7 linked regions of the Oryctolagus cuniculus genome follow. The protein of the gene in region 4 interacts with the protein of the main gene of each other region in a pairwise test. Links are inferred from orthologs where the notes say so. Each region holds a gene or a part of one and is shown on either strand. Other genes may lie near its edges.

Evidence for each region.
Region 1: the proteins of BYSL (region 4) and PNMA2 interact in binary tests that used the Homo sapiens proteins (3 or more experiments, as listed by UniProt). The two-hybrid records come from large-scale screens. The link is inferred for Oryctolagus cuniculus from reciprocal best matches to the Homo sapiens genes BYSL and PNMA2.
Region 2: the proteins of BYSL (region 4) and MTUS2 interact in binary tests that used the Homo sapiens proteins (3 or more experiments, as listed by UniProt). The two-hybrid records come from large-scale screens. The link is inferred for Oryctolagus cuniculus from reciprocal best matches to the Homo sapiens genes BYSL and MTUS2.
Region 3: the proteins of BYSL (region 4) and KIFC3 interact in binary tests that used the Homo sapiens proteins (3 or more experiments, as listed by UniProt). The link is inferred for Oryctolagus cuniculus from reciprocal best matches to the Homo sapiens genes BYSL and KIFC3.
Region 5: the proteins of BYSL (region 4) and TRIM27 interact in binary tests that used the Homo sapiens proteins (3 or more experiments, as listed by UniProt). The two-hybrid records come from large-scale screens. The link is inferred for Oryctolagus cuniculus from reciprocal best matches to the Homo sapiens genes BYSL and TRIM27.
Region 6: the proteins of BYSL (region 4) and TRIM54 interact in binary tests that used the Homo sapiens proteins (3 or more experiments, as listed by UniProt). The two-hybrid records come from large-scale screens. The link is inferred for Oryctolagus cuniculus from reciprocal best matches to the Homo sapiens genes BYSL and TRIM54.
Region 7: the proteins of BYSL (region 4) and FXR2 interact in binary tests that used the Homo sapiens proteins (3 or more experiments, as listed by UniProt). The two-hybrid records come from large-scale screens. The link is inferred for Oryctolagus cuniculus from reciprocal best matches to the Homo sapiens genes BYSL and FXR2.

The regions. Positions count from the first base shown.
Region 1 is NC_091433.1:47,729,334-47,733,303, forward strand, and holds the start of PNMA2 (paraneoplastic antigen Ma2), read left to right. Parts: upstream 1-1,170; 5' UTR 1,171-1,268; intron 1,269-3,970. Other genes in the region: DPYSL2 (dihydropyrimidinase-related protein 2), read right to left, coding at 486-839.
Region 2 is NC_091440.1:85,074,682-85,078,181, reverse strand, and holds part of MTUS2 (microtubule-associated tumor suppressor candidate 2), read left to right. Parts: intron 1-1,865; coding exon 1,866-1,964; intron 1,965-3,225; coding exon 3,226-3,345; intron 3,346-3,500. UniProt on the Homo sapiens protein: Binds microtubules. Together with MAPRE1 may target the microtubule depolymerase KIF2C to the plus-end of microtubules. May regulate the dynamics of microtubules at their growing distal tip.
Region 3 is NC_091449.1:41,234,508-41,238,007, forward strand, and holds part of KIFC3 (kinesin-like protein KIFC3), read right to left. Parts: intron 3,226-3,500; coding exon 3,067-3,225; intron 2,970-3,066; coding exon 2,730-2,969; intron 2,324-2,729; coding exon 2,150-2,323; intron 1,682-2,149; coding exon 1,534-1,681; intron 1,004-1,533; coding exon 873-1,003; intron 1-872. UniProt on the Homo sapiens protein: Minus-end microtubule-dependent motor protein. Involved in apically targeted transport. Required for zonula adherens maintenance.
Region 4 is NC_091436.1:127,974,015-127,976,914, reverse strand, and holds the end of BYSL (bystin), read left to right. Parts: intron 1-818; coding exon 819-979; intron 980-1,153; coding exon 1,154-1,256; intron 1,257-1,729; coding exon 1,730-2,075; 3' UTR 2,076-2,400; downstream 2,401-2,900. UniProt on the Homo sapiens protein: Required for processing of 20S pre-rRNA precursor and biogenesis of 40S ribosomal subunits. May be required for trophinin-dependent regulation of cell adhesion during implantation of human embryos.
Region 5 is NC_091436.1:154,135,823-154,139,978, reverse strand, and holds the start of TRIM27 (zinc finger protein RFP), read left to right. Parts: upstream 1-1,356; 5' UTR 1,357-1,701; coding exon 1,702-2,121; intron 2,122-3,296; coding exon 3,297-3,392; intron 3,393-4,156. UniProt on the Homo sapiens protein: E3 ubiquitin-protein ligase that mediates ubiquitination of various substrates and thereby plays a role in diffent processes including proliferation, innate immunity, apoptosis, immune response or autophagy.
Region 6 is NC_091433.1:175,699,524-175,703,597, reverse strand, and holds the start of TRIM54 (tripartite motif-containing protein 54), read left to right. Parts: upstream 1-1,274; 5' UTR 1,275-1,730; coding exon 1,731-1,898; intron 1,899-4,074. UniProt on the Homo sapiens protein: May bind and stabilize microtubules during myotubes formation.
Region 7 is NC_091448.1:52,173,967-52,177,969, reverse strand, and holds the start of FXR2 (RNA-binding protein FXR2), read left to right. Parts: upstream 1-1,203; 5' UTR 1,204-1,573; coding exon 1,574-1,654; intron 1,655-4,003. UniProt on the Homo sapiens protein: mRNA-binding protein that acts as a regulator of mRNAs translation and/or stability, and which is required for adult hippocampal neurogenesis. Specifically binds to AU-rich elements (AREs) in the 3'-UTR of target mRNAs.

The sequences.
Region 1 (3,970 bases), on a different chromosome or scaffold from region 4:
GCGCCGGAGCAGGTGCGGCGCCGAGCGGCGGTCCGAGCCCTCGCCCCTCCCGACCCCCCGGGAGCCCGCGGGCCTCCACGCCAACCTCCACCGCACGCTCCGAGCTGCATCAAAAAAAGGGTGGGGCTCCCAGCCACAACTGCAACCCGAAGCCGCCGGCCCGGGAGGACTTAAGAAGAATGGAACCGCGGCCCACCCCTCTCCCAGGGCGACCCCCTCTCCTCCCAGACCCCGATCGGCCAGTCCCTGACGCCCATCCACTTCCCAACCCCCGAGCCCGGGGAAGCGCGAGCAGCCTTTGTGGGCGCACGGCCGCCCACCGCCGCGCCCTGCGCGCAGAAGGGGCGGGCAGGGTGGGGTGCGCGTGCGGAGGCGGAGAGGCCGCGGTCGCGGCAGGGCACGAAGGCAGGCGCCCAGGCTGCAGGGGCGAGGGGCGAGCTGGCGCCCGAGCGCCCGCACCCACTTACCTCCCCGCACACACCCACCTGGTCGTAGATGTTCTGTAGGGCTTCCTTGCCCGAGGCCCGCCGTATCTCCACCTTCCTGCCGGATTCAACAGATGGCTCCCCGCCGGCGCGCCGGCCCTGCCGCGAGTACGGCGTCTGAGGGTCCGGGCCCAAGTGGGCGACGTCCCGCTGCTGGGCCACCACCTGCCCCGAGCCCCGGCCCACCGACAGCGAATCGAAGTCGATGGTCTTGTTCTCCGAGGACCCTTCCACCGGGCAGAACATGCCACAGAATTTCTGCCGCGGCTTGGGGCTGCCCGAGCCCAGATTTTTAAAAAAGGCAGGGACCTCTTCGTCCTCTGCCGCCTTCCCGGACTGCTTCCTCTCGGCCATGGCGCGGGGCTGGGGAGGGTCCCGTCCGTGCGTGCGTGCGCTGGTCCTTCAGGCTCCCTCTCCGCGTGCACAGACCGCGCTGCCGCTCTCTGCCCACCGCAAGGTGCACAGAAAGGAAGGCGGGCTGGCGAGCGGGCGACCCACCCTCCCGGCCCCGCCCCCTGACCCCGCTCTCTCCCCTCCCTGCCCACGCCCCCCGCGCAAGCTAGCGGCAAAGTTGAGTCTGGGAGGGCCGCCGCTGCGGCAGCCGGAGCCGAGACGCGGCCGGTTCCCGGCAACGTGGGGCGGGGCGGGGCGCGCGCGGGACCCGGGCGGGGGGGGGGGGGGAGGGCGGCGCCTCGCGGAGCCCCGCGCTCCGGAAGTGAAGCGGCCAGACCCCCGGCTAATGGATGCGGAGCGCAGGGCGCGCTCGCCGCTCTCGGCGCCACCGTAAGTAGCAGGCCGAGCACGCGCGGAGAGGACCCATGGGCGCAGCCCCGGCGCCCCGCTCCCCCGCCACATTGCGGAGTGGGTCGGGGGCGAGGCCGCAGAACTCTCCCCCCCGCCCCGCTCCGTTTTACCCGGGTGGGAGCTGGTGGAGGGGGAAGGGGCGACCAGCTTATTTAGGCACCGGGATTGTCACAGGGAAGGCGTGGCGGAGAGGGTGGCAGTAGGAGTGGGAAAGGTGTGGCGCAGGCGGCGCCGACCGCACCGGGGGACCCCCCAGGCTCGCCGACGCTAGTACTGCCGTGCACCGACGCCGAGGGGGGCGGCAGGAAGCAGAGACCCGCGAGAAGGTTCTCGCAGGTTGCACGTGGTGGAGGGTGCGGAGGCGCAACAAGGCCGGGAGTAAAGCGCAGGGGCGTTGCAAAGTGGAAGACGGGGTAGCGTAGCGAGACGCAGGTGGACGGTTTGTGTGAGCGTAGGCAAGACTGCAGCCTGCACGTGCCAGCCCAGCGGAATCTGCAGAGAGAGGTTGCAGAGTCGCTGTATTGCCTGAGGGCCGCCATGCCGCCTCTGCGCCAAGATTTGGTATCTTCCATCTCCCCCGCCAAAAAAAAAAAAAAAAAAAGGTGGGGGAGAAGCGGGGTGAGGGCCACTCCCTAAGCCTTCAGCCTGCTCCCGCATCCGGGCACTGTGTCTGTGCCCCCTCCCCTCGCCCCTGTTGGCGCAGTGCGCCAGAGCGGCGGGCGGAGGAGGTGCCTCGATCTGTGCGGCGCCCCGCGGAGACCAGGTGCGGACCGCGGCGCCGGCGGCGCGGCTCTCCGGGGCGCATGGCGATTCGTGTGGATGAGGCTGGCCCTGCCATGCTCGTCTCCACGGCCTTCCCCCGTTTCAGCCCCTCCTTTAGCAGTGTGCTGAGGGAGGTCGGCGCTGAGAGAGGCAGCAGACCACGGGCCCGGTGACCGAAGACTCAGCCCGCACCCCCAGAAGGATGAAATTAAACCACGCTTCCCCACAGGGCGAGGCCCGGTCGGTCGGCTGAATAAAGTTTGGAGGAGAACCAGTCAGTCTGTGGGGACGGCGTCTCCGCCAAGTGGGAGGGGCCGAGGAGCCAGGCAGGCATTTTGAATCCCCGCACCAGATGTGCTTTGCATTTGAATAAAGCGCTTCTCTCTGAGTTACATCATTTCCTACTCACCGCAGTCCTGGGAGAGGACGGGTTTTATCACCAGGGCTTTCCAGGTTAGGAAACTGAAATTCAGGGAGATTGGAGGCATGCTGCCCAAATCTAGTGAAATGACCCAGTAATAACAGTGTGGGGGGGGGGTCTTCCGGCTCCAACTGCGGGTGTGGTTCCCTGAAATGTGAAAAAACTCAAGAGTCGGACATTTTTTCCACATCCAGGGGTTTCCATCTGGGGCCCTATTCCACGTTAAATGCATTGCCCTCGCCATCTTTCTAATTGAGGGGCAAGGAGGGATGGCACTTGAGAGAGTGGTCCCAAGGTGACAGCTACGTGGGTCTTAGAGGTGTTGCTTTCTGAGCGTTCAAAGCCTTTCCTCCAAGGGGCAGGAAGGCCAGCCCCATGGTGTAGAAGGGAGAAGTTCATCATGGAAGAGCCAGGAGTCTCCAGCCCCCGGAGCTGCTCAGCGCAGACTTCCCTGGCACCTTCCAGATGGACGCGGTATGTCTGCCGCTGGTATAGCTGCAGGTGACTTCTGTGGCATCTGGACGGCTGATGGAAGTTTTCAGGCCAAAGAGGAAATGATCTTAGCTCCCTGACACACCCTCCCCAGTGCTGATGATCGCAGTCCACAAGCAACAGTGGTGGTCTCCCCAAGAGTGTATCATCATGACCATCCTGGTTTGTGTCAGTCACTCAGTGGTGTTCACCCAAGGTCCAGATCACAGTGCCTTTCTCTGAACAAATCTTCACCACTAAGCCGCACGTGACTGAGGGCATTAGGAACTCTTGCCTCCCCAAGTTCAACGCTGGGAAGAAAGTGTTGTGTTAATAACTTACTCTTATCAGCCCTAAAGGTGTTCATATCTGGCTAAAAAGCCTATGAGAGTATCTCAGGCATGGAAAGCCAAGACACTGTGGCAAAAAATGACCTAAGTAAAAGATCTCTGTGAGTGAGATCCCAGCGGAAAGAATGGGCCGTCAAAGAAGGAGGTACCTTTCCCTGAAGGGAGGAGAGAACTTCCACTTTGATTATGGCCTTGTCTAAATAAGATCAGAGTTGGCGAACTTAAGAGGCTTCCATAGCCTTGGCAGCTCCTGATGACAAGAGCCTTGGGTGACTACTGACGTCATAAATAAGAGTGTCAATTGTTAACAACAGGAGTCACTGTGCACTTACTCCCCATGTAGGACCTCTATCTTTAATGTGTTGTACTATGCGAATTAACAGTAAAACTAGTCTTCAAACAGTACTTTACACTTTGTGTGTCTGTGTGGGTGCAAACTGTTGAAATCTTTACTTAGGATAGAGTTGATCTTCGGTATATAAAGATAATTAAAAATTAAAAATGAATCTTCATGAAGAATGGGGTGGGAGAGGGAGAAGGAAATGGGATGGTTTGCGGGTGGGAAGCTGGGTGTGGTGGGAAGAATCACTATCATATAAAAGTTGTACTTTTGAAATTTATATTTATTAAATAAAAGTTTTCTATTAAAAAGAACTTATTCATAGCACAAAAAAAAA
Region 2 (3,500 bases), on a different chromosome or scaffold from region 4:
GAGGATAGCTCAAAGGGTGAGCAGATTAAGGGGAATCATGAATGAAAGGCATATAGGTGATGGCTGTTGCTAATTAATAGAGCCTCTGGGGTTTTTCTGGTTGTTTGTACTATCACCATCCTCATCCTCATCCTCACCATCATCGTGCCACTCATGGACTGCTGAGTGGCCCCCACTGGCCGAGGCTGCCAGCTGGATCTCTGTGCCTCTTAGTCTGACAAGTAGAAAACGAGCCTGTTCTGATGGCCACAGCACTGTCCTGTGCCCTGTGACTGCTCTGAGCGACTCTGTTTGGATAGCAGTGAACGAAGCGAGAAGACTCAGCTTGGTGCCATGGATCCATCGCGGGCGGTGGAGGCCTGCTGAGATTTCCTTGTCTGCTTTTTAATGCTGGGGAAGAGACTCAAAGTCTTCCTCGTCTAGACAGCACTGATGAGGTTGGGCGTAGGAGCCACGCAGGACACGGTTGAGTGGATGGCCACGTTCGGAACGTGGCTGCAGCCTCACTGGGGCCGTGATTTCCATGCGCCAAAGCTGTTGTGTTTAATGGCACTGTGGGGACTTTTATTTCTTAAAACTGAAATGGAAGTAGTTAGAAGGTGGAGGAGGAGCGGGGGAGGAGGAGCCGGCCCTGGGGGGTTTGCAGAGTTCTCTGCCAGAAAGCGGTGCAGCCAGGCTTCATAACGCCAGTGCTGCCATGTGGAGTCCCAGAAGTCACAGCGCCCTCTCCTGCTCTTCCGTGGGATGAGGCGCGTGGTTCCTGGGGTCCCCCAGCCCCTGTGTGTGACGGAGATGGTGGTGGTGGGTGGGGAAGCCGGGGGCTTGTGGCGTACATGAAGCATGTGGGAGTGACGCTTTCCCTGGGCGTCAGGGGAAGTCACTGTGGAGCATCCTTTGCCTGCCAGGTGATGCGAGTCCTGGCTGCGGTTGAGGGGAGGGCTCAGCACAGCTCTGTCTGCCCTGGGCCGGGGACGGGGCTCAGGGTCGGGGTCTGGGCAGGTGCACCTTCAGCCCTTTAACCTCATGTACGGGGCTGCCCTGTTGCTGGCACCAGCAGGCAGAGGGTCTGACAGGGAGGATGGGACCGTGGCTTGGCTCCTATTGGGGATTTGTCACCAGCCCTGAAGCTAGAGGAAGCTGGCAGAGGGAGGCAGAGCCAACCGGAAGTGCTGGGGTGTGGGAACCAAGACTGGAGAGGGGAGACCACCTCAGAGGCTAAACAGAAGAGTGTGCATGGCACCCAAGGGCACTGGGGGGTCTAGTGAGGGTCACTGGGGTCAGGTTTTCCTGTTCCTTGGAAAGAGGAGCCCGGATGCAGCTTGGGGCCAGCAGAGCATCGCGCAGTGCTGGGCTGGGAAAGAGCCAGCAGGGGGCCTGAGCCCAGGGAGGGGAGGGGACCCCGGGGTCAATCCCAGCTTCCTGGGACACGAAGGAGGCAGGATTTGATCACTGGCTCCTAACTGGGGAGGGATCCCCAGGCAGAGAAAGGAGCAGGACGGGGAGAAGATTCCTTGCTGAGAGCTGGTTTTCCTTGCCCCTGAGTAGCTGCGGTTCTGCAGTCAGGGCTGATGCTCCTGGGCTGGCCAGCTCCGTCCTGATTGTCTGCATCGCTCAGCTGGGCCTAAGAATTCCCCCATCAGCACTTCTATGTCTGCTCTGGACACCGCACCAAGGAGGGGCCAGCTAGGGTGTGTTGGGGGCATCTCTCCCCACCACGCAGATGGGGACCCCCCACCATGACCCATGGGAGACCCTCTCTCTGAAGAGCCCCAGGGCGAGCTGGCTGGCCCTGACACCCCAGCTGCCCAGGCGGGGCTGGGTGTGCACAGAGGCCCCCATCGGGCACCTCATGGCATTCCTTGCAGGACCAGGTGGACACGCTGACCTTCCAGAGCCAGTCCCTGCGAGACCGTGCCCGGCGCTTCGAGGAGGCTCTGAGGAAAAACACGGAGCAGCAGCTGGAGGTATTCCAGGTTCCCCCGGCCTCCCAGCCCCACTGTGGCCAGGGCCTCCTCAGCCCTAGACAGCTGGCCACGCCCTCCCCACACAACTGCTGTCACCACTTGTGCCCAGGACACACCAAAGCTGTGGCTTCTCCCGCTACCCCAGACCCCTGAGCTCCTGGCCTAAGCAGAGTCTGGAAGGTTCACCATGGCCTCAGCTGCCTCCATCCCACTCCCTCCCAGCTTCCCTTAAAGCTGCTCAGGGCAGCAGTGGCACTGGCTTCAGCGTGATTTGTGGGTGGAGGGGTTTCTTCCATTAAAGCTGGCAAAAAGTCCTTCCCCTAGTGCCAGGTTGCTGGGTAAAACACATGACCCCCAGGTCAACTTGAAATACAGATAAGTGAGTTTTCGAGGATAAGTATATGCCAGGCGATACTTATACTAAAGTTTCTTATCTGAAATTCACAGATAATGAGAGGTCCCGTGCTTGTATTTGCTACATCTGGCAACCCTGCCGCACCAAGTCTTTCTCTAAAATGACTTTTCTGCTTTCTTAACTACCTTGCTCATGTCCTATGCATGGGGCAGGGTCTTTCTACTGGCATGAGGGGGCGGGGGGGTCCTGCAAGATCACTCGCTCCCTGGTGAATCAAGCGTCTGGGTGGGTGTTACTCTTGCATCTTCTTGATTTTTTATTTATGTAAGAAGGAGAGAAACAGGCAGAGCTCCTGGCCAACTAGTTCATTCCCCAAATGCCCGCAGTGGCCAAAGCTGAGAGCTGAGAACTCAAGCCAAGTCTCCCACGCTGGCGGCTCCCCCTCTCCCCCTCTCTCCCCCTCTCCCTCTCTCTCCCTCCCTCCCTCCCTCCCTCCCCCCCCTCTTCCTTGGTGTTGCAGCTGCCCATTGGGAAGCTTGCTAGTGATGGCCAGATTTACCCAGATTCAAAATGTGAGCTTCTGCCTGGACGTGAAGTGTGGCGGCAGAGTGACTAAGCAAATGCATCCTGTTCTCCTGCAGATGGGTAGGATCTTAGTAGCTGAGTGACGCCCATCCCATGGTGGGTGCACTGGCAATTTGTTCCCGGGACTGGGAGGAAACGGCTCATTCGTTAGCCAGGATCGTCCGCTTCCCATGGAAGAGCCGACAATGACCGCTGGGCGTGACCCCTTATTGGTCGTCGGCGGCACTGGGCCCTCCCCAGACCTGCAGACGCACGGTGTGGGTTAGTACTGGGCTTTGCCAGGACCCGGCATGCAGCTCGTTGCTCCGCCTGCCCCTGTAGATCGCCCTGGCCCCGTATCAGCACTTGGAAGAGGACATGCAGAGCCTGAAGCAGGTGTTAGAGATGAAGAATCAGCAGATCCACCAGCAGGAGAAGAAGATTCTTGAGCTGGAAAAGCTGGTGAGCTGGTGTTTGCCCAGGGGAGTGGGGGCCACGGGGCCCTGTCCCTGGTGCAGACACCTCTGACTGTTATTAGAGGCAAACCGGGGTATAAGTGTCTGCCTCCAGCACCCTGGGTGACATGGGCCTCCTGGCACCTTTCAGACCCTCCCGGG
Region 3 (3,500 bases), on a different chromosome or scaffold from region 4:
CGGCTCCCTGGCCTGGCTCGCCCCACCGCCCACCCACCAGGGGTGCACCCTGCATCCTGCTGTGGGCTGAGGGTCTGACTGACATGCGCTGTCCTATGTCACCTTTTCCCAGTGACCCCTCGGGTGGCGGGGCTACTACATTCCCACTTCACAGGTGAAGAAACTGAGCCACTGCTTCCCAGTTACCCTGCCCTGTGCAGGGTGCAGCACCAGCACCCGACGGCAACAGCGTTCAGCTAGGCACAAATCCCAGCTCCAGCGGAACAGCTGGGGCGCCTGAGACAACGGCCTCAGCCCCCTCACCTGCAGCGTGGGGCTGACACCACCGAACGCGAGACTACGAGGTGGTGGAGTTCAGGTCCCAGGTACACTTCAGAGGGGGAAAGAGATGCGGAAGCCCCAACCCCGTGTGTCCTCCTTTGTTATTATGAAGGGAGACGCAGACACCAACGGGCTCAACGCGGGCGGCTGCGGGGCTCCTCGGCACCTGCCGCAGGCTTTGACTTTCCCCGAGCTGCGCACCGCTCAGCACTGCTGACAGAAGAACCCGCGGTCTACTCTGCAGAGCCCTGGCGGGCGAATTCAGGGAGCCAAGGGCTTGCACGTGGGAGGCATTTAAGAGACCTGGGCTATTCGCACCCTCTAAGTCCAGTTTTCAAAGTGAAACCTAGCACACGTGAGAACATGCAGTAGGTCTATGGTCACGGTCACACGTGTACAACAGAACAGCCTGCAGTCAGATAGCTGGCCATGGCCAGCGTGTGGGAGCTGCGGAAGTGTCTGTGAATTCGGGAACCGGTCCCGAGTGGATGCTGCGCCTGCCCCAAGGCCCCAGTGCCTCTCCCAGCCCCTGACCCAGCCCCCGCACTCACTTCAGCCTTGACACTCCGGAGGGCCTCCTGCAGCAGCAGGGGGAAGCCGCGCACCTGCCGCTTGAGCCCGTTGTAGTCGTTGGTGAGGGTCCGCAGCGCCGGCTGCAGCGTCAGGAGGTTAGTCCGGACGCCTGCGGGACGCGAGGGGAGTGAGGCTGGCGGGGAGGGAGGGCCGCGGCGGAGTGGGGGCGGTGGGCAGGGCTCGGGCGGGGTGGGAGGGGCCGCCGCGAGGTAGGGGGCAGTGGGCAGGGCTCGGGCGGGGTGGGAGGGGCCGCGGCGAGGTCGGGGGCGGTTGGGCAGGGCTCGGGCGGGGTAGAAGGGGCCGCGGCGGGGTGGGGGGCGGTGGGCAGGGCTCGGGCGGGGTGGGAAGGGCCGCGGCGAGGTGGGGGGCGGTGGGCAGGGCTCGGGCGGGGTGGAAGGGGCCGCGGCGGGGTTGGGGGCGGGCAGGACTCAGGCGCGGTGGGAGGGGCCGCGGCGAGGTGCGGGGCGGTGGGCAGGGCTCGGCCGGGGTGGGAGGGCCAAGGCGGAGCGGGGGCGGTGGGCAGGGCTCGGGCGGGGTAGAAGGGGCCACGGCGGAGTGGGGGCGGTGGGCAGGGCTCGGGCGGGGTGGGAGGGGCCGCGGCGAGGTCAGGGGCGGGCAGGGCTCCAGCGACCGCCTCACCTGCCAGGTTCTCGTGCACGGCCTTCATTTCCACCTGGGCTCTGGCAAAGGCCTCTTCGATGGCCCGGTTCTTGTCCTCCTCCAGGGACTGCATCTCCTCCAGCATCTGTCCGTGCGCCCGCTCCAGCTCCGCCTCGTACATGGCAATCTGGCGGCCGGGCCATGAGGAAGCTCAGGGCCGTGGAATGTGGTGGGGGAAGGTACAGGGAGGGGAGCCCCGCCCCTCACCAACACCACACCCCCCTCCTGCACAAGCACACGCGGTAGCAGGGTCAACCGGCTTCTCTCTCCCGGGCCCACGGCTGCGAACTCCATGTAGCTGCCACCACCGTCCCACCTCTCCACCCCTCACCCCCTGCCTTGGGCCCCAGCCCCGCCTGGGCCAGGCCCTGGGGGAGTCAGGAGAACCCGAGCCCCGTGGTGTTGATGGAGCACACCGGGCCTGAACCTCTGCTGGTCGCGTCCCAGAGGGCCCACCGTGGGCGCTGGGAGCAGAGCGCATTATAGATGAGGAAACAGAGACAAATCTTGCCCTTGGTCACAGGGTCAGGAGGGAGAGAAGGCACTGGCCCGTCCCGGCATGCTTAGCCACTGCGCCGTCCCAGCCCCCACCCACCTGTGCACGGAGCTGCGTGGTCAGCTGGTGCGAGCTCTGCAGCTGCTGCTCCATCTCCTTCAGCACCTGCCGCTGCATGGCCACCTGCTCCTGCAGGTGCTGGTTCCGGGCCTGGGACTCGCTGAGCGCCTGCCTGGTCTTGGGCGACTCCACCTCCACCGTCTTGATGACATACTGCAAGGCGAAGGCAGGCGTGTGGGGCCCTGGGAGGTGACCACGGGAGGGGAGCCTCGAGGGGCCCCATCAAGAGCCCCGGGGGGAAAAAAGCGAGAGCAGCCTGGGGTCCTGGCTTTCCAGAACGCACTGGAATCTTCTCATTTTAATGAGAGCCTGCTACGAGCCCAGCTGTGACTCCCACCTGGGCACGGAACAGAGGAGAAGGGCAGAACCCAGAGGGCACACGCGGGCACCCGAGCACTGGGTGTGGACACTTTCTCCGGCCCTGGCCAGCTGCAGAAAGGGGCAAGGCCCAGTGCAGCACGGGACCGAGTCCATTAAATACCCACACCTGTTTTATCCCCACGACGCGCCCCTCTCTCGAGGCTGCCCTGCCCTGGGCCCAGGCGCAGGTGAGGCTCACCTTGACAGGCGGGGACTGGGCCCGCAGGCTGGCGATGGTCTCGTGGCTGTCGCGCAGGCGCCGGCTGAGCCGCTCCTCCTCCTGCGCCTTCTCGGCCAGGCAGTCCTTGAGGCGCAGCTCCACCTCGGCCAGCCGGTCCGTCTTCTGCTGCACCTCCAGGTTCAGCTCGGACAGCACGCCTTTGTTCTCCGCCACTTCCAGCTGCAGCTGGGACAGCTTGTCCCGGAGCTGGGCGCTCTCCTGCGGGGGCGCGGGCCGCCGTGAGGGGCTGCATTCGCATTGAGGAGGAGCTGGACCCTCCGGGACCGACCGGGGCCGGGGTGTGGGGCCGGCTTACCTGGCTGTGTTCGCAGCCCGGGCAGGGCGCTGCCGCCGCCGCCACGGCCGGCTGTGCCCGCAGCCCCTGCAGCTCGGCCTCACAGCGCCGCAGCTCCTGCCTCAGCCGCTCATTCTCCACCGTCAGCCGGTCCCGCAGCTTCTCCAAGTCGGTGCCTCCCTGCGGAGGGCCGGGGCCCAGGGGAGGCATGTGGAGTGGGCAGAGGGGCGGACAAACAGCAGGCAAGGGCCCGAGGAGGAGGAAAGAAAAAGGAGAAACGTGAGAGAGCAGGACATGGAAAGAAACCCAGAGACAGGCGGCAGAGAGGAAGAGAGGCGGCCAGGAGGGGGCCTCCTGCCCCACCCCCCACCTGGCCTAGTTTCCTGAGTGTGAAAGTGCCGAGAAGTCATATTTATGCACAGGGTTCACACTCCTATTTTATGTCAGCCAGCCAT
Region 4 (2,900 bases):
TATCACCTGTTGCTTCCCAGGAGCAGAACCAGGACTGGAATCCAGATACTCCCATGTGGAATATAGGCAACCAGGTGGCTTTTTTCTTTTTTCTTTTCTTTTTTTTTTCTTCTTCTTTTTGAGAGACAGAGTTACAGAGAGGTCCTCCATCTACTCCCCATATAGCTACAATGACTGTAGCTGAGCTGGTTTGGAGCCAGGAGCTTCTTCCAGGTCTCCCACATGGGTGCAGGGGTACAAGCACTTGGGCCATCCTCCACTGCTTTCCCAGGCCACAGCAGAGAGCTGGATCGGAAGTGGAGCAGCTGGGATATGACCCGGCGTCCATGTTGGATGCTGGAGCCCCAAGCAGAGTCTTAGCCTCCTGTACCACAATGCCAGCCCCCATGTGGCATCTTAACTGCTATGCCAAGTACCTGACCCCCAAATGATGTTTATTTTTAAATATCTTTTTATTGGAAAGGCAGAGTTAGAGAGAGAGCTTGATGTTGTATCTGTTGGCTCACTCTCTGGATGGCCTCAATGATCAGGGTTGGGCCAGGCTGGAGCAAGGAGCCTGGAACTCATCCAGGTTTCCCCACATAGATGAAAGGGGCCCAAGCACTTGAGCCATCTTCCATTGTTTTCCCAGGCACAACAGCAGGGAGCTGGATCGGAAAGGGAGCAGCTGGGACTTGAATTGGCCCTCAAATGAGATATAGATATTGCTGGCAGTGGCTTAATCCACTGTGCCATAATAGCAGCCTCCACCCAGTGATATTTAAAGGGGTAAGTCCAGACCTATCATGTGACTTGGGGACTTCCCCTCACCCCACTAGGATTTTTGCTTCTAACCTGAAAGAACGCATGGCCCAGCGCTTCTACAACCTCGTCCTGCTCCCCCGCATACGAGATGACATCGCTGAATACAAACGACTCAACTTCCATTTGTACATGGCGCTCAAGAAGGCCTTGTTCAAGCCTGGAGCCTGGTTCAAAGGTGGGCACCCAGAGGCAAGGAAGGAGCGAGGGGCTGGAGCGCCTGCAGGTGAAAGCTGACCTGTTGCGGGAAGTGGGTGTCTCTAGTGCTGGCCCCTGGGGCTGGTGCGGGGGTTTCCTGGTGTACCTTCCTCTCACCCTGGGCTGGGAGTGACTACCCTCTGCCTGTCTCCAGGGATCCTGATCCCCCTGTGCGAGTCAGGCACTTGTACTCTCCGGGAAGCCATCATCGTGGGCAGCATCATCACCAAGTGCTCTATCCCTGTGCTGCACTCCAGGTAGTGTTGGTGGGGCTCGAGGAGGACTGCGCAGTGCACAGAGTGGGGTGGCCAGGACTTGGGGAGAGGGTAGCGACAGGAAAGAGTAGAACAGCTGTGGATTTGTGGCTGGTTGAAGCAGTGGGTGTGTCATTGCTTCACTAGAATGTAAGTTCCACTAGAAGAGGATCCCAGCACCTGGCATATGGCAGGTGCCCAGTAAATAGTGGAATGAGTAGGGCACACAGGGAGGAAGTGAGGTGGGGGTGCAGATGTCAGCATGTTTGGACATTCTAGTTGGATCCTGGGACAAGTGTCTAAGCCAGAGGTAGAGGTGGTAACTGCAGTCAAAAAAGGATGAAGTTGGGTAGGTGAGGAGGCCTGAGATGGCCCCCTTGGGAACACCATTGTTAAGGGCCAGCAGAGGGGAGAACCAGGCTCCCTCCTCCAGCGTTTCCCCATGGATTAACCCTACCACGCCACCCCTTCCCCAGCGCGGCCATGCTGAAAATCGCCGAGATGGAATACAGTGGTGCCAACAGCATCTTCCTACGACTGCTGCTGGATAAGAAGTACGCACTGCCCTACCGCGTGCTGGATGCCCTGGTCTTCCACTTCCTGGGGTTCCGGACAGAGAAGCGGGAGCTGCCCGTGCTCTGGCACCAGTGCCTGCTGACATTGGTCCAGCGCTACAAGGCAGATTTGGCCACAGAACAGAAAGAAGCCCTCATGGAACTGCTCCGGCTGCAGCCCCACCCACAGCTCTCCCCCGAAATCAGGCGGGAGCTTCAGAGTGCAGTCCCTCGTGACGTAGAAGATGTCCCCATCACCATGGAGTGAGGAAGACGGTCACCTGTCCTGGTCCAGTGGGCATGGGAGGACACCAGGTCCCCTGGGTGACTGAAGATGACACTGAGCTTTTTATGCCTGAAGACCAGGGCAGTGACAAGGTCACAGGGCATCTGTGGCTCCCAGGCCGGGCAGGGTGGCCTGAGAGTCTGTTTGGCTCCCTCCTCTCTTCTAGGCCTTCGTCCCTGCTCCCTTGGTGAGCTGATGTGATCCACAGCCCAGCATTCCCACTCCCCAGCTGGGGCTTGGTTTAAGCACACCTTCTCCGCCTGTTTTATCAAGTCACTGGGAAAAACAAAGACGGGTATTTATTGAACCTGCGTTCTGCTGCAGTTGATGAAGGTCTTTCTCCTTCTCTGTGGCTGGAGGTGGGAATTTCCTCTTCCCTGTTGTTGTCTCGGGAGTGGGATCTTTACTCAGTTTACACAGCAGCCGACCTTAACCTCCCAAGTGCTTCTCCAGGCTGCGTGCCTCCAGTAGCCCCCAGGGGCACATGCTCTGCCTTCCCCTTGAACGAATGACACTGTTTAGTTAGTTGGGTAGAAGGCCAGCCATGGGGTTGTTCAGAAAGTAGTGGTTTCTGGGCCATGGATGGAACAACTACAGAGGGGAGATGGGTCTGCAGATGAGGTGGGATCAGCACCAGATAGATTCCCTTCCTAGGTTTTAAGCCAATCAAAGCTTTAGGCCAAGGGCTGGTATTGTGACACCAGCATCCCACACTGGAATACCAGTTTCAGTCCTGTCTGCTCCACTTCCAGTCCAGCTCCCAGCCAATGTACCTGGGAAGGCAGCAGAAGATGGGCCCTTGCTACC
Region 5 (4,156 bases), about 26 Mb from region 4:
TTCAGCCTGGCCCAGCCCTTGCTGTTGCGCCTGTTTGGAGAGCGAAGCAGCAGATGAAATATCTGTCTCTGTCCCTGTCTCTTTGAGAAAGAACTCTGGCTTTCAAATAAATAAATAAATCTGTAAAAATAAAAAGTAGTCTTCCCCTCCCCCAACACCTTCCCGGTTGTTCCAGGATCATTTATTGAACTTTTAGAGCCAATCTGATTTTTCCTCTACATGATACCAAATTCTTACCAACATTTTAGTCTATTTCTCAATTTCCATTCTGTCCCATCGATCTGTCAGCTTATTCTTACTTTAAGCACTGTACCTTTGCGGCATTCCTATTATTTTTTCAGCCAGATGAGAAGAGAGATAAGAGAGGAGAGAAGCTGCACAAATATGCATAAATACCTTAGGTCTAATGGACTCTCCGAACAGTATGGCCCCGCCCAATATTTCTACGTTTTTTGTAAGTGGGCTAGGGTTACTGGGGTCTGGAATTTCACAGACTGGGTACTCAGAGTGTGGTTCAGAGGACGTGGGCTTGGGGTTGGCATGTCCACTTCGCCTCTCGGATCCCTCCAAACAGAAGTTCCGGAAGCAGAGGCCCTACTGCTGAGACCCAAAACCACACTGAGAAAAATCCCAAGGAAACCAGCAAATACCAAGTAGGGATGACGGGAAATCCACTGTGTGATAAGAGAACAGACAGCCCGGGATTCCAAGACCCCGGGGCACTGTGGGATTCGCACTCTGAACTTCAGAAAGGAACAAGAGGTTTTCAGGTGCCGCTCAATACAACAACCCTACGCCGTGGGTATTTTGCGGTTTTCACGGATAAACATCCTTACGGCTCAAAAATTAAACGATTAAGTCTACCTTCTTGCTGAGGTATACCGATTCTGAGGCTCAGAATGGTAAAACACCTTGCATGAGCAGAGATAGGGAGTAGCAGAACTAGGCTCGCGGTTTTTCTCCCTGCGGAAATGTTTCAGAATGATAAATACACCCATTTTTCCCCCTAAACAAAACGGCGAGCGGCAGCAAATGATGGCTCTGCTTAACAAAGTGCGTCACGTACCGGATGCAGCTCAGTTTGCAGCCCCATCCGCTAGCCTCAGGGCCTGCGCTTCCCAGTCCTACACAAAGCCAGCCCTCTCTGGCAAGGGCTAAGGCCTGAGCGCCCAAAGAAAACCTCACAAAAGACCAGGGGTCCTCAGCGCCCGGTTCGGAGGTCCCGTCCCGACCCGTCCCGCCCTGGGGCGCGCGCCCAGCCAAGCCGCCCTCCGCGGCAGGAAACAGCTAGGCCCCGAGGCCAAGAACCGCAAGCCCCGCCCCACGCCGCCCCGCCTCTTCCGGTCGCGCCGGGGCGGGGTCTCCGCGGCCTGCGGGATCCGCTTGGACGCAGCCACGTTGTCCTGCGCGCCTGGCGCGCCTGCCCCTGTGAATCCGGCCCGAGGCGCTGCGCGCCTGGCCCCCCTACCCGCGTAGCCGCGGGGCTCCGTCGGGAGGCAGCCTTCCGGGCCTCGTTCAAAGGGTACAACAGGGCAGCGAGCTGCCCGGCCGCCGGAGCCTCCCAGGGAATCCGGGCCCGAGGGGCACCGCCCTCCGCCCGCCCGGCTCGAGCAGCGACCCGGAGAGAGCGCCGGAGAGTCGGGCTCCGCGCAGAGCTCGGCGCCGGGGGCCCATGCCCGTGCGCCCCCGCCAGCCCGCGCCATGGCCTCCGGGAGCGTGGCCGAGTGCCTGCAGCAGGAGACCACCTGCCCCGTGTGCCTGCAGTACTTCGTCGAGCCCATGATGCTCGACTGTGGCCACAACATCTGTTGCGCGTGCCTCGCCCGCTGCTGGGGCTCGGCCGAGACGAACGTGTCGTGCCCGCAGTGCCGAGAGACTTTTCCGCAGCGGCACATGCGGCCCAACCGGCACCTGGCCAACGTGACCCAGCTGGTGAAGCAGCTGCGCACCGAGAGGCCGTCCGGGCCCGGCGGCGAGATGGGCGTGTGCGAGAAGCACCGCGAGCCGCTGAAGCTGTACTGCGAGGAGGACCAGATGCCCATCTGTGTGGTGTGCGACCGCTCCCGCGAGCACCGCGGCCACAGCGTGCTGCCGCTCGAGGAGGCGGTGGAGGGCTTCAAGGTGAGGGCCCCCCCCGGCGCGCGCGCAGCGAGGCGGACAAAGGGAGGGGAGAGCCACGGGGGCTTCCCCTTTTTTTCCTTGCCTAGAAAATGGCTGAGCCGGACGTGTGGTTCACAGCCGTCATTTCCTCTCTGTCCGCTCCCGAGCCTCCGCACTCGGATTTGGAGGAAAACCTGTAGCTGCTGGGGAAGCCAGAAGTCGCCCCACCCCACCCCCACTCCTATCCCTGTGTTTCCCAGATCTCGGACGCTATGGACATAAAGACGTTCCCTGGAGCCCTTCCCCCACCCCCACCCGCAAACCCGACACCCTACAAGATGTGCATAAAGCTGTGTACACATCAATAGGCTCCTGAGACACTCTGCTCCCAAATTATAGAGGAAACCCGCTCGGACGGTGACCGCGGTGTCCGAGTCATCCGGCAGATGCCCGTCACTTAGTCTGTAAGCACTTCTTGTAAACCGTCTTGTTCTAGAAGCTCATGGAAAGGAACACATTTCTCCACTGCTTGAGTAAGGCATTTCGCCATCCTGAGACACGGGAGATAACAGGTATTATGATTAAGGGGATAAGAAGTGCAAAGCCTTTTGCAAACTGTTGAACCGACTGCGGCAGCAAAACAATAACACGGAAACAAAGTATCACGTGCAAAAGAGTTTTAAGGAGACATTCCAGGCGTCCTTGATGTTGTCTGTTTGCTATGTGTTTGAGGGCTACAGGATTATACCCACAGTTTTGTCCGTGTTTAAAAGTGAATGCATTTCTGCATAGTCACCTAACATGGAGCTTTTAACTGCATCATTTCACCTGCTCTCCTTGTAACTGGAATAGGCTGGGAAAGTGGTATTTACCCGTCACACATGAGGAGAATTAGAGAAGTTGCTTCATTTTCTCAGTGGACCTCTGTGGAAGGTCTACAACTTGACTTTAAATCTCCTAGTCCAGTCACCCTAATGCTAAACTGGGTAGAGGATTCATTTAAGAAATGCACACATTGCCATAGAAGAGAGGTGGTGGCCCCTGTGCTTTGAGTCTTCTGTGGATGGTAGTGTGGTCTGAACACAGGCTCGCACCAGGCACCTGGCATCAGAATTGTAGTTTCTGTCTGTGGGGAAGCAAAACAGCCATGGTTATACTATGGCCTGCCCAACTTTTTTTTTTTTTTTTTTTTTCAGGAACAAATCCAGAACCAGCTGGACCATCTAAAAAGGGTGAAAGACTTAAAAAAGAGGCGCCGGGCGCAGGGGGAGCAGGCACGCGCTGAACTCCTGGTAAGGGCTTTTGGAATTCCCAGATAATAGCGCTTTTGCTGGTCCGTGCTTCTGTCAAGCCAACTTGCTCAGTTCTTCCAGTTGCAAGTGAAACAACCCCATGTGGCAGTGGAAACTTAACCTGGAGAACCAAGGGGCTCCCCTACTTTTGGGGAGAGGGTGGAGGAGCTGTGCTTGGGAGTCATAGATACCTGCTGGATCAGTAAAGTTTAGCTTGTTAGCTGCTTGTGGGCCAGGACTGATGTTTGGCAGACTTGAGATAGGTGAAATTCTTGAGAATAGTTAGCTGGCATCCTGTGGTGCACTATCCTTCTCACAGGTGCTGGTGATGGATTTGTGTCAGCCCCACTGGTTGACTTTCTGGAGTGTTCATTCCCCTTTCTAAACAGAGTTTTTCGCTCTGTTTTCTTTGAGCAGTCTTCCAAGGCTTTGGCAGGAACCTGATGTGCTAATTCTGATATGGGTATTTTGGAGTTTTGTTTTAGAAAAACAAAAAGTACAGAGGGTTTTATCATATACACTTACATATTTACCACCTAAGTGTTTACAATGTGAGTGGAATAGATAAAATGTTACAGACCTCTAACCATTAGAGGTGTTTGCATCTGAAAAGCAAACTCCTAGACTAGCAGTGTCTGGAATCTTGAGAGAAATTGTGTCAGTTCTAAGTTGTGTCCCTTCTAAGCAGGGAGCTCATTCCTAAGGTGTCCTTAGATTCCACCACTTGCTCTGCCCACACAATCTGCTGAGACCACAGTTCCCCT
Region 6 (4,074 bases), on a different chromosome or scaffold from region 4:
GCAGGGTGGGCCCTGTCCCCAGAGCTGCTGCACCAGTTAACCTTCCTTTGTTGCCACTGTGGACCAAGAACTCCTACCATCAGCCTCCTTCCTAAGCCAAGACACCTTTCTGGGGCTGGTCTTCCTCCTCTGGTGGCCAGCTCAGCCCTGCCACCTCGAGTCAGCCCAGGAGAAGTGAGTGCTTATGCGGCTTGGGGCAGTTATCCCACCTGTGGACTGTCCCTGGACCCCAGCTGCCGGCACAGCCCCCGCCAGCCTGGCCCCCGGGGTTGGCCAAAGTTCTTGCTTCAGCATCTGCTCGCCCCCACCCTCTGGACTCGCCTTGTGCAGGCCGGTCGCCCTGCATTTTGTCCTTAAAACAGGACGGGAAACGTGACGAGGCGAAGGCTGTGCCTTGCAGACTCTTTCCCCGCTCTTCCTTCTTCGTCCTGCCTCTCCACACCACCCGTTCTCCGCCCACTCAGGGTCAGAGCCTAGGAACTCCTCTAACTTCACCCTTGTCTGGGAGAAAGGTGAAGGAATGTTAGTAAATAAAAGAACTTTTGACAATCCCAGTGCGTGTGTTGGGCCCAAAGAAGACAGATGGTGCCAGCGACAGAGGAAGAAGGCCGTAGGAGAAAAAGCGAGAAAGCCACGTGCGGCGAGCCTGGTTCGCAGGGCAGGAGTCTGGGACACGTGTCGGGCCGGGCAGACGCTGCCCATGCTCTGCGGCTGTGGCTTTCTCGGTGCTCTGAAGTTTCCCTGGAGACTGACTGCCTGGTGCTCAAAATAGGTCTCTGGCTCTCAGGTCCTTTCCGCCTGCCCAGCATCTCCCAGTTTCCTAACAAACTGAAATTCCGTGGAGTGGCCCCAGCAGTGGGTGGGCGGGCCAGAATCCCACTCTCTCAGGACTGCAGCAGCCACTTGCAGCCTCCTGAGCTTCTTTCCCTAGAGTGAAGAAATGGCTGGGCAAGCACAAAACTGGGCCAGACGTGTTGGACGAGAGGCTGTCTCCCTAGTGTCCGGTGCCCTGTTCTGAACCACTTGGTCTTGGGGAGCAGGAGACTGTCATTGACCCTCTCCGAAGGTCTGGCCAGATCTCTCCTCCCACCCTGAGCCATGAACCATGCTGCCCCTCATACAGGCCGCTTTAGTCTGTGTCACTGTTCTGGACCCCAAGCCAGAGCACGGGGCCAGGGGCTCCCAGGAGCCTCTGGATGACTGCTGGCCCACCTTTCACCGTCAGGAGTGACGCTCACCCTGCCCTTGCTAGAGGGAGCCGCCCATCCCTGTGTGAGTCAGGGTCACTCACTGGGTGACAGCTGGGGCTCGCCTTACACGAGCTAAATCGGGAGCTGGAATGTCATGCAGATGCCCCTCTCTCCCCACCCCCACAGTAAAATTAATCTCCTCTCTGGGGAGTAAGGGACAGACAGTGCTGCCCACAGAGTGGACAGGAGAGAGTCGTTTGGGGGACAAAAGAGAATTTAGAGAAGGGGAGAGAGAGGCCGGGCAGGGTGCAGGGCAAAGAGCAGAGAGACCGAGAAGCGTCTGGAACCCGCGCCCTACGGACGGACGAGGCAAGTTGTGAGAGGAAGGGACAGGAGCTGTAGCAGAGCTATTTCCAGAGCGAGCAGCCGAAGGGAACAGAGCGTCTACAGACTGCTTAAGGGGCGCGAGGAAGGGTCCCGAGGCAGCGGGAGAAGGCCAGGACCAGGGCCGCGGCCAGGGCAGGCACGATCGCTGAAGGGATGAACTTCACGGTGGGTTTCAAGCCTCTGCTAGGGGATGCGCACAGCATGGACAACCTCGAGAAGCAGCTCATCTGCCCCATCTGCCTGGAGATGTTCTCCAAGCCGGTGGTGATCCTGCCCTGCCAACACAACCTGTGCCGCAAGTGCGCCAACGACGTCTTCCAGGTGGGCTTGGCGTGGAGACCCGGAAGGGGGTGGGCGGGGGGCTCCGGGAGGCGGGCAGTAGCTGTTGTGGCTGAAGAGGGGAGGAGCCGGGCTCCTTCCTGTGGATCCCAAGGTAAGCATGAGTCAGCAGCCGCCCAGCAGGCTGGCGGGTACAGCCTGTACTGGGGCAGCAGCCGGGAGGCCGGCTCCTACCCCCGGGGGCTCCGTGAGAGCCTGCGCTCGACTCTGCATTTCAGTCTGGGGCTTCGGACTTTGAGAACAGTGTGGAAAACCGGGAGAAGGAAAGGGTCAGTGAGAGAAGGAAAGAGTAACCCCCATGAGAAAGCACCGTCCTCACACAGAGTGGTTTGTTCTGAAGGCGAAGCCCAGCGAAATGAGACATGGCAGGTAGGAGACTAGGAACCGTCCCATCCCCAGCGTCAGTTCATGCCTGTGGCCCTCCGAACTGCTCAGCACGGAGGCCTCCCCTGGCTCGTACAGAGAGAAGGCGGAGAGGTTGTGTTCCCCAGCGTACACCCCAGCGTACAGCCAGGTTTTATTTACCGTGGTGGTGGAGCAAAGCATAGTGAAGCAAACTCACAGAAGCCATTTTAGTCGCAGGCTTCAAAAATACAAGGAGCACGTGCCAGGCTGGTCTATAAAGGGGCTTTCTTTTCTCCTTTTTTTTTTTTTTTTTTTTTTAAGATTTATTTGTTTATTTCAAAGGCAGAGTTACAGAGAGGCAGAGAGAGAGAGAGAGAGAGAGGTCTTCCATCTGCTGGTTCACTCCCCAAATGGCCACAATGCCTAGAGCTGGGCTGATCCAAAGCTAGAAGCCAGAAGCCAGGAGCCAGGAGCTTCTTCTGGATCTCCCACACTGATGCAGGGGTCCAAGGACTTGGGCCATCTTCTACTGCTTTCCCAGGCCATAGCAGAGCTGGATCGGAAGTGGAGCAGCCGGGACTAGAACCAGTGCCCATAGGGGATGCTGGCACTGCAGGCAGCAGCTTTACCCACTATGCCACAGCACTGGCCCTTATAGAGATGCTTTCTTGACCTATGCTGTTGGGGAAGGTTCTAGTAGGCTATTGGAACAGATCTCAGGGAACATAAGGGGGAAAACACCCAGAAATCTGCCCTTGCAAATGATGTAAAAACCCGGAGTAGACTTGAGCTGGATGGCTTAGCATGCGTGTCAGTGACATGGAGACCATGAACAAGTGTTCTTCATCTGCATCACAGGTTTGGAGAGAATGTATTGAACACAGGTTTTTTGTTTTTGTTTTTGTTTTTTAAGATTCGTTGTATTTGTTTGAAAGGCAGAGGGAGAGATAGATCTTCCATCTTCTGGTTCATTCCTCAAATGGCTGCAACAGTTGGATTTGGGCCAGGCCAAAGCTGGGAGCCAGAAGCTTCATCTGGGTCGCCCCCATGGGTGCTGGGACCCAAGAACTTGGGCCATCTTCCTCTGCTTGCTTAGGTACATTAGGAAGGAGCTGGATCAGAAGTAGAGCAGCTGGGAATTGAACTGGTGCCCATGTGGGATGCCAGCGTTGCAGGCAGTGGCTTAACCCACTACACCACAAAGCCAGCCCCAAACATGGGTGATTTTTAACTTAATCAAGAAAATGCTTGGCTTCTTAGGTTGCTTAGGGCAGCATGTTTGGGGGGAAAGAATGGGCCAAGCCAGGCCATCCCATGCTGTGCCTTTGACCCCCCTACTGTGTGTCTGTCCTGTGCCCTCTTTATGTGTGCCCAGCACCCCCAAGTCTCTCCTGCCATCTCCCCATTGAGGCCACTCCCACCTCCTATCCTTCTAAGTATCCAAACCAGCCATCATTGGCCCGAGAGTCTCACAGCCAGTAGCTTTACCCAGATCAGGGTTCCGGACCAAATGCTGTGCCTGCTCAAGTCCTGTGTGAGAAGCCACACCTTGCCTGCCACCTGGGTTTCTCCCTTGGACTAAGGAACTCCCTGAACACCTATCAGGCGAGATCTCTAGGAGGAGATGGCAGGGAGATTTGCCATCACTTCTCATGGGTTTGTAGTGAAGCAGCCTCTTACTAGTACCTAAAATACATAAAAGCAAAAAGGCTGGGAGGCACAGACAATGCAGCCTGTCGAATAGTGGTCATAGCATCCTTCGGCAGAGGGACCCAGGCCTGGGCGCCACACGTGGAGGCCAGCAGAGATTTGA
Region 7 (4,003 bases), on a different chromosome or scaffold from region 4:
CTTGTGGCTCCCCACGTCACAGCAAATACTACTTGAACTTTGGTAATTGTGCTCCTCCAAGGCCATGCGCTTTCTGTGTTTCTGCACCATTGCATCCCTCATTCTCTCCGGAATACTGTGACTGCATTTCTCCCCCAGCAAACTCCACTCATCCCTTGCATCAACTCCTCTGGGTGGTCTTCCCTGACCACTCCTGAGAACAACTAACCAATGTCTCCTCAGAATTCCCCTCCTTAAATCTATCACAGCTTCCATCAAACTGTATGCGTTTATATATTTAATCGTCCCTTTGCCAATCTGTTACATGTGCCTTGGTACCTTGCAATGTGTTTTTGTCTTTGTAACCCTTAGCACTGAGCGCATTGATTGGAACATAGTGTGAGTAAAATAAATATTGGCTAAATGATTACATGCAGACTGTTCTAATGTCTGTGTGTTTTTTTTTTTTAACTTTCTCCTAATTTCTTATCTTAGTTCAGGAATACGAAGTTTTCTCGCTACCATCCTCACTTCTGAAAATTTTTCCTCTTTTGAATTTCTTTAATATTTAAGGCTCGGGATCTTGCACCAGCCTAGCTGCTTTTCGGTAGTGCCTCGAGACGACTCGTTAGCCTCGCATTTTATCAGACTCCGCTCAAGGCGACAAGCTCCAGTCTCAAATATCCTATAGCGCAGAGACGCTGACGAGAGTCCGTGCGTGCGCGCCGACTGGCGCTCAGCGCCTGCGCGCCGGGCACTTTTTGCTTTTCGACTCTCCCTTTTTTTTTTTTTTTCCTTGGGAGCGTGCGCACCAAGACAGACAAAGGTGAGGAAAGTGACCAAGCAGTCATGCAGGCGCATGCCCACCCCGAACTTGTCCGAGCGCGGCGGCTCTCCCGGGGCGCAGAGGGTGTGGTCTGAGCGCGAGCGGCCGAGGCCCAATCCGATTGCGCGAGCTCGGCTCCTCCCTCCCCGCGATTGGCTAGCGCCGAGTGTTGTGGGGCGGGGAAAGGAAGAGATGGGGGCTGTGGAGGGGCGGGTGGGGAAGAAAGAGGGCTAATCTCGTTCTGCGCAAGCGCAAGGAAGCGACCACGAGAGGGCGTGAGAGAGCGAAAGGGAATGTGGAAGCCCTGATGCGCTGGCGAGCGCGAGCTGGGTCGCCGGCCTTGACGCCTGCGCCGTGGGCCTCGGGGTCCCGCGCGCGGCGGGCGGGTGCCCGGTGCGCCTGCGCAGTAGGCGGCGGCGGCAGGGGGAGGTGGAGGCCGTGGAGCGGCAGCGGCAGCAGCGGGTCCCGGGACTGGGGCAGCAGCGGGGGCGGCGGCGGGCGGAAGCTGAGGTGACGAAGGCAGCGGCGGCGGCGGCCGTTTCCCTCACGGTGGCGGAGACCAAGGCGGCGGCGGCGGACGGGGAGCGGCCCGGCCCCGGCCCCCTGCTCGTTGGCTGTGGCAGGGCCGCCGTGGGGCCGGCCCGGCTCCCGCCCCCCGCGGCTCCCCCTCCGGCTCCTCCTCCGGGGAGACGCCGGGGGCCTGGCCCGGCCCGCACTCAGACCGCTGCTGCAGCCGCCGCCGGGGGCGTCGGAGGCGGCGGCGGCGCCATGGGCGGCCTGGCCTCTGGGGGGGATGTGGAGCCGGGACTGCCGGTCGAGGTGCGCGGCTCCAACGGGGCCTTCTACAAGGTGAGGCGGTGCGCCGGCCGGGGACCCCGTCTTTAGCTCCCGGAGCAGGCAGAGCGGGGCGGGCCAGGGTTCTGGAGCTGAGTCCTGACCCGTAGAACCTTCGACCCATGCTCCCACCGCAGCCCTCCCCGGGAGACTGCCGGGAGTTCGCTCTCTTCCTCCTATTTTTGACTCCGCTCCTATACCTGCTTTTACCTTCAGCTCAGAATAGAATCGGGGCATTGCTGTGCCTGGATCGGCGCTCCCGGACCCCCAGGAGAAGTCTCTTTCCTCAGCTTAATTGACTTTTCCTGTTTGCTATTGGAAGCCGTACCTTAGGCCCTTAACTCGCTGTGCCACAACGCCCGCCCCATACCTTAGCCTTTAATCACCTCTTCCCCGCGGTCCAAGCACATGGACAATTCTTTTCTTCTCCCACATGACCCCCTTGGGAAGGCCCTCTGTCCCATATTAGCTCCTTTATCCTCAGAGAGGCCTCTGCCTACTGGCTCTGGAACGCTCACCCCACTTTCGCCTTACATTGCCGTTCCCAACCCAAGGAGAAACGGTCAACATCCGTTTATGACTTTTGGCATCTCTGGCCTCAGGTTGTATCAGTCATGTTGCCTTCCAGCCAGTGGCCTCTGCTCATAAGTCTGGCACCCCAGCCCCCCTTCAGTCCCGGGCCAGCCCGGTGGTCCACCGTTCTACCCAGGGGAAGGTTTCTGTTTGTTATCGTGCCTTGACCTCAGATCCATTCAGGTCATTCATACAGCTTCTGCATGTTGATGGTAAGCTTCATATGCATAGTGTCTAAAAGGGAGTCTCCCCATGAGCCCTTCCATTTCTCTTTTTAAGGATTTCCACTTCTAGAAGACTTTTGGCCATCTCTCCCAGTTCTGGAATCCTGCAGCCTGTTTTTGGAAGGAAAAGGGGACTATCCTTCAAAGACCCTTGCTTCTTTCAGCTCCCTCCTTGCCCAGGATTGGTTTCCTTAGGATTCTTTTTACTACTGCTTTATTTGTTTAGAACCCATTTTCTTGAACTTTTTGTCCCCATTTAGATGATGCCGTACAGAGAGAGACCTTTTTAGCCACTCAAAGAATTTTTCTTTGTGTGATTGTTGCTAATCCTAACCTCTTTGGGACTTTGTGTCTGGAATTGTCCCAGAGATTTTCCTGATTCCTGTCTCATTTCATCCTGAGGAGTCGCAAGAGAGAGATCTTCCCAGGGCCAGCTCTCCTTCAGTTCCCTTCTGGTCTTTCCCCCCTACAAAGACCTCTCAATCTTCCCATGCCCTTGGAAGTGGCTTGAGCTGATGACTGTGAAGTCGTCTCTTACTACAGCTGGAAAGGGTCTTGCCCTTGGTTGGAGTGGATGGTAACTGCCTGCACTTCAGTTGATAAGCTCATTGTAGTCATTTTTTACTCTCTGTAAGTACCTATTCACTCTTCTTTGCTTCCTTTCTTCTCCAGATTGCTGTATATCTAGTGTCTGTTCATAACTCATCCTCTCAGTTCAAGTCTTTGGCCTTTTATCCTAATATTTCTATAATCCCCAGGAACCACCTTATTACACTTCTAGCTGAAGGAAGCTCCCAGCTGATTGCTTTTGTCATTTTTTGCATACTTTCCTAACTCTTAGGACTTTTTCTTCATTTCTGTTTTCTTTGGCAAAACGTCTCTAATTCCTTTCTGGTTCTGATAGAGCACATTTGCCTCTTAACATCCTTTCCTCCAGTCTTGCATTACCTTTGTTGAAAACCCTGCCTCATAAGATGTTAGCCTTGTTTATCCCAGTGTCTTGTCTTTCATCTGAGTCCTGCCCACCCCCGAGTTCTGGAGTCCAAGAGAAATGATTCTTAAATTGAGTTTGAGATCAAGATAATGATGTTTGCTTTTTTTCTAGGAAGCATGACAGCCAGGCACAGCTGGGAAAGAATGGTACCCACTTCACAGTAAATGTGTGAAACAGCTGGGAAGGGCCATCTTTCCTGTAATCCACATCTAAGTGTACAACAGGAAGTCTCTGACTTTCCCTTTTTGCTCTTGGGCTGTGGCCATGAGTGACTTGAAGAATTGGGGCACAGAATACTTTGAATCAGAGTAGAGTTTGGAGTTGAACTGAAAGTGAGGTAATGTGGATTTTGTGTTCTGGCAACATTAGCATTTTTTGTCCCATACCTAAGGTAAAAAAACAACAAAACAAATCTCTGAATTGAGACTAATCTTTCTTCAGCTCAGTGTCATATAGATATTTATCCATGCTGACCTTGCTGCTGATTTAATTTAATATTCATGACTCAGCAAACTTTAGTGTAGGTCAAGGAGCATTCCTACTGCTTCTGGAACTATAAGTTTGGGAAGCTGC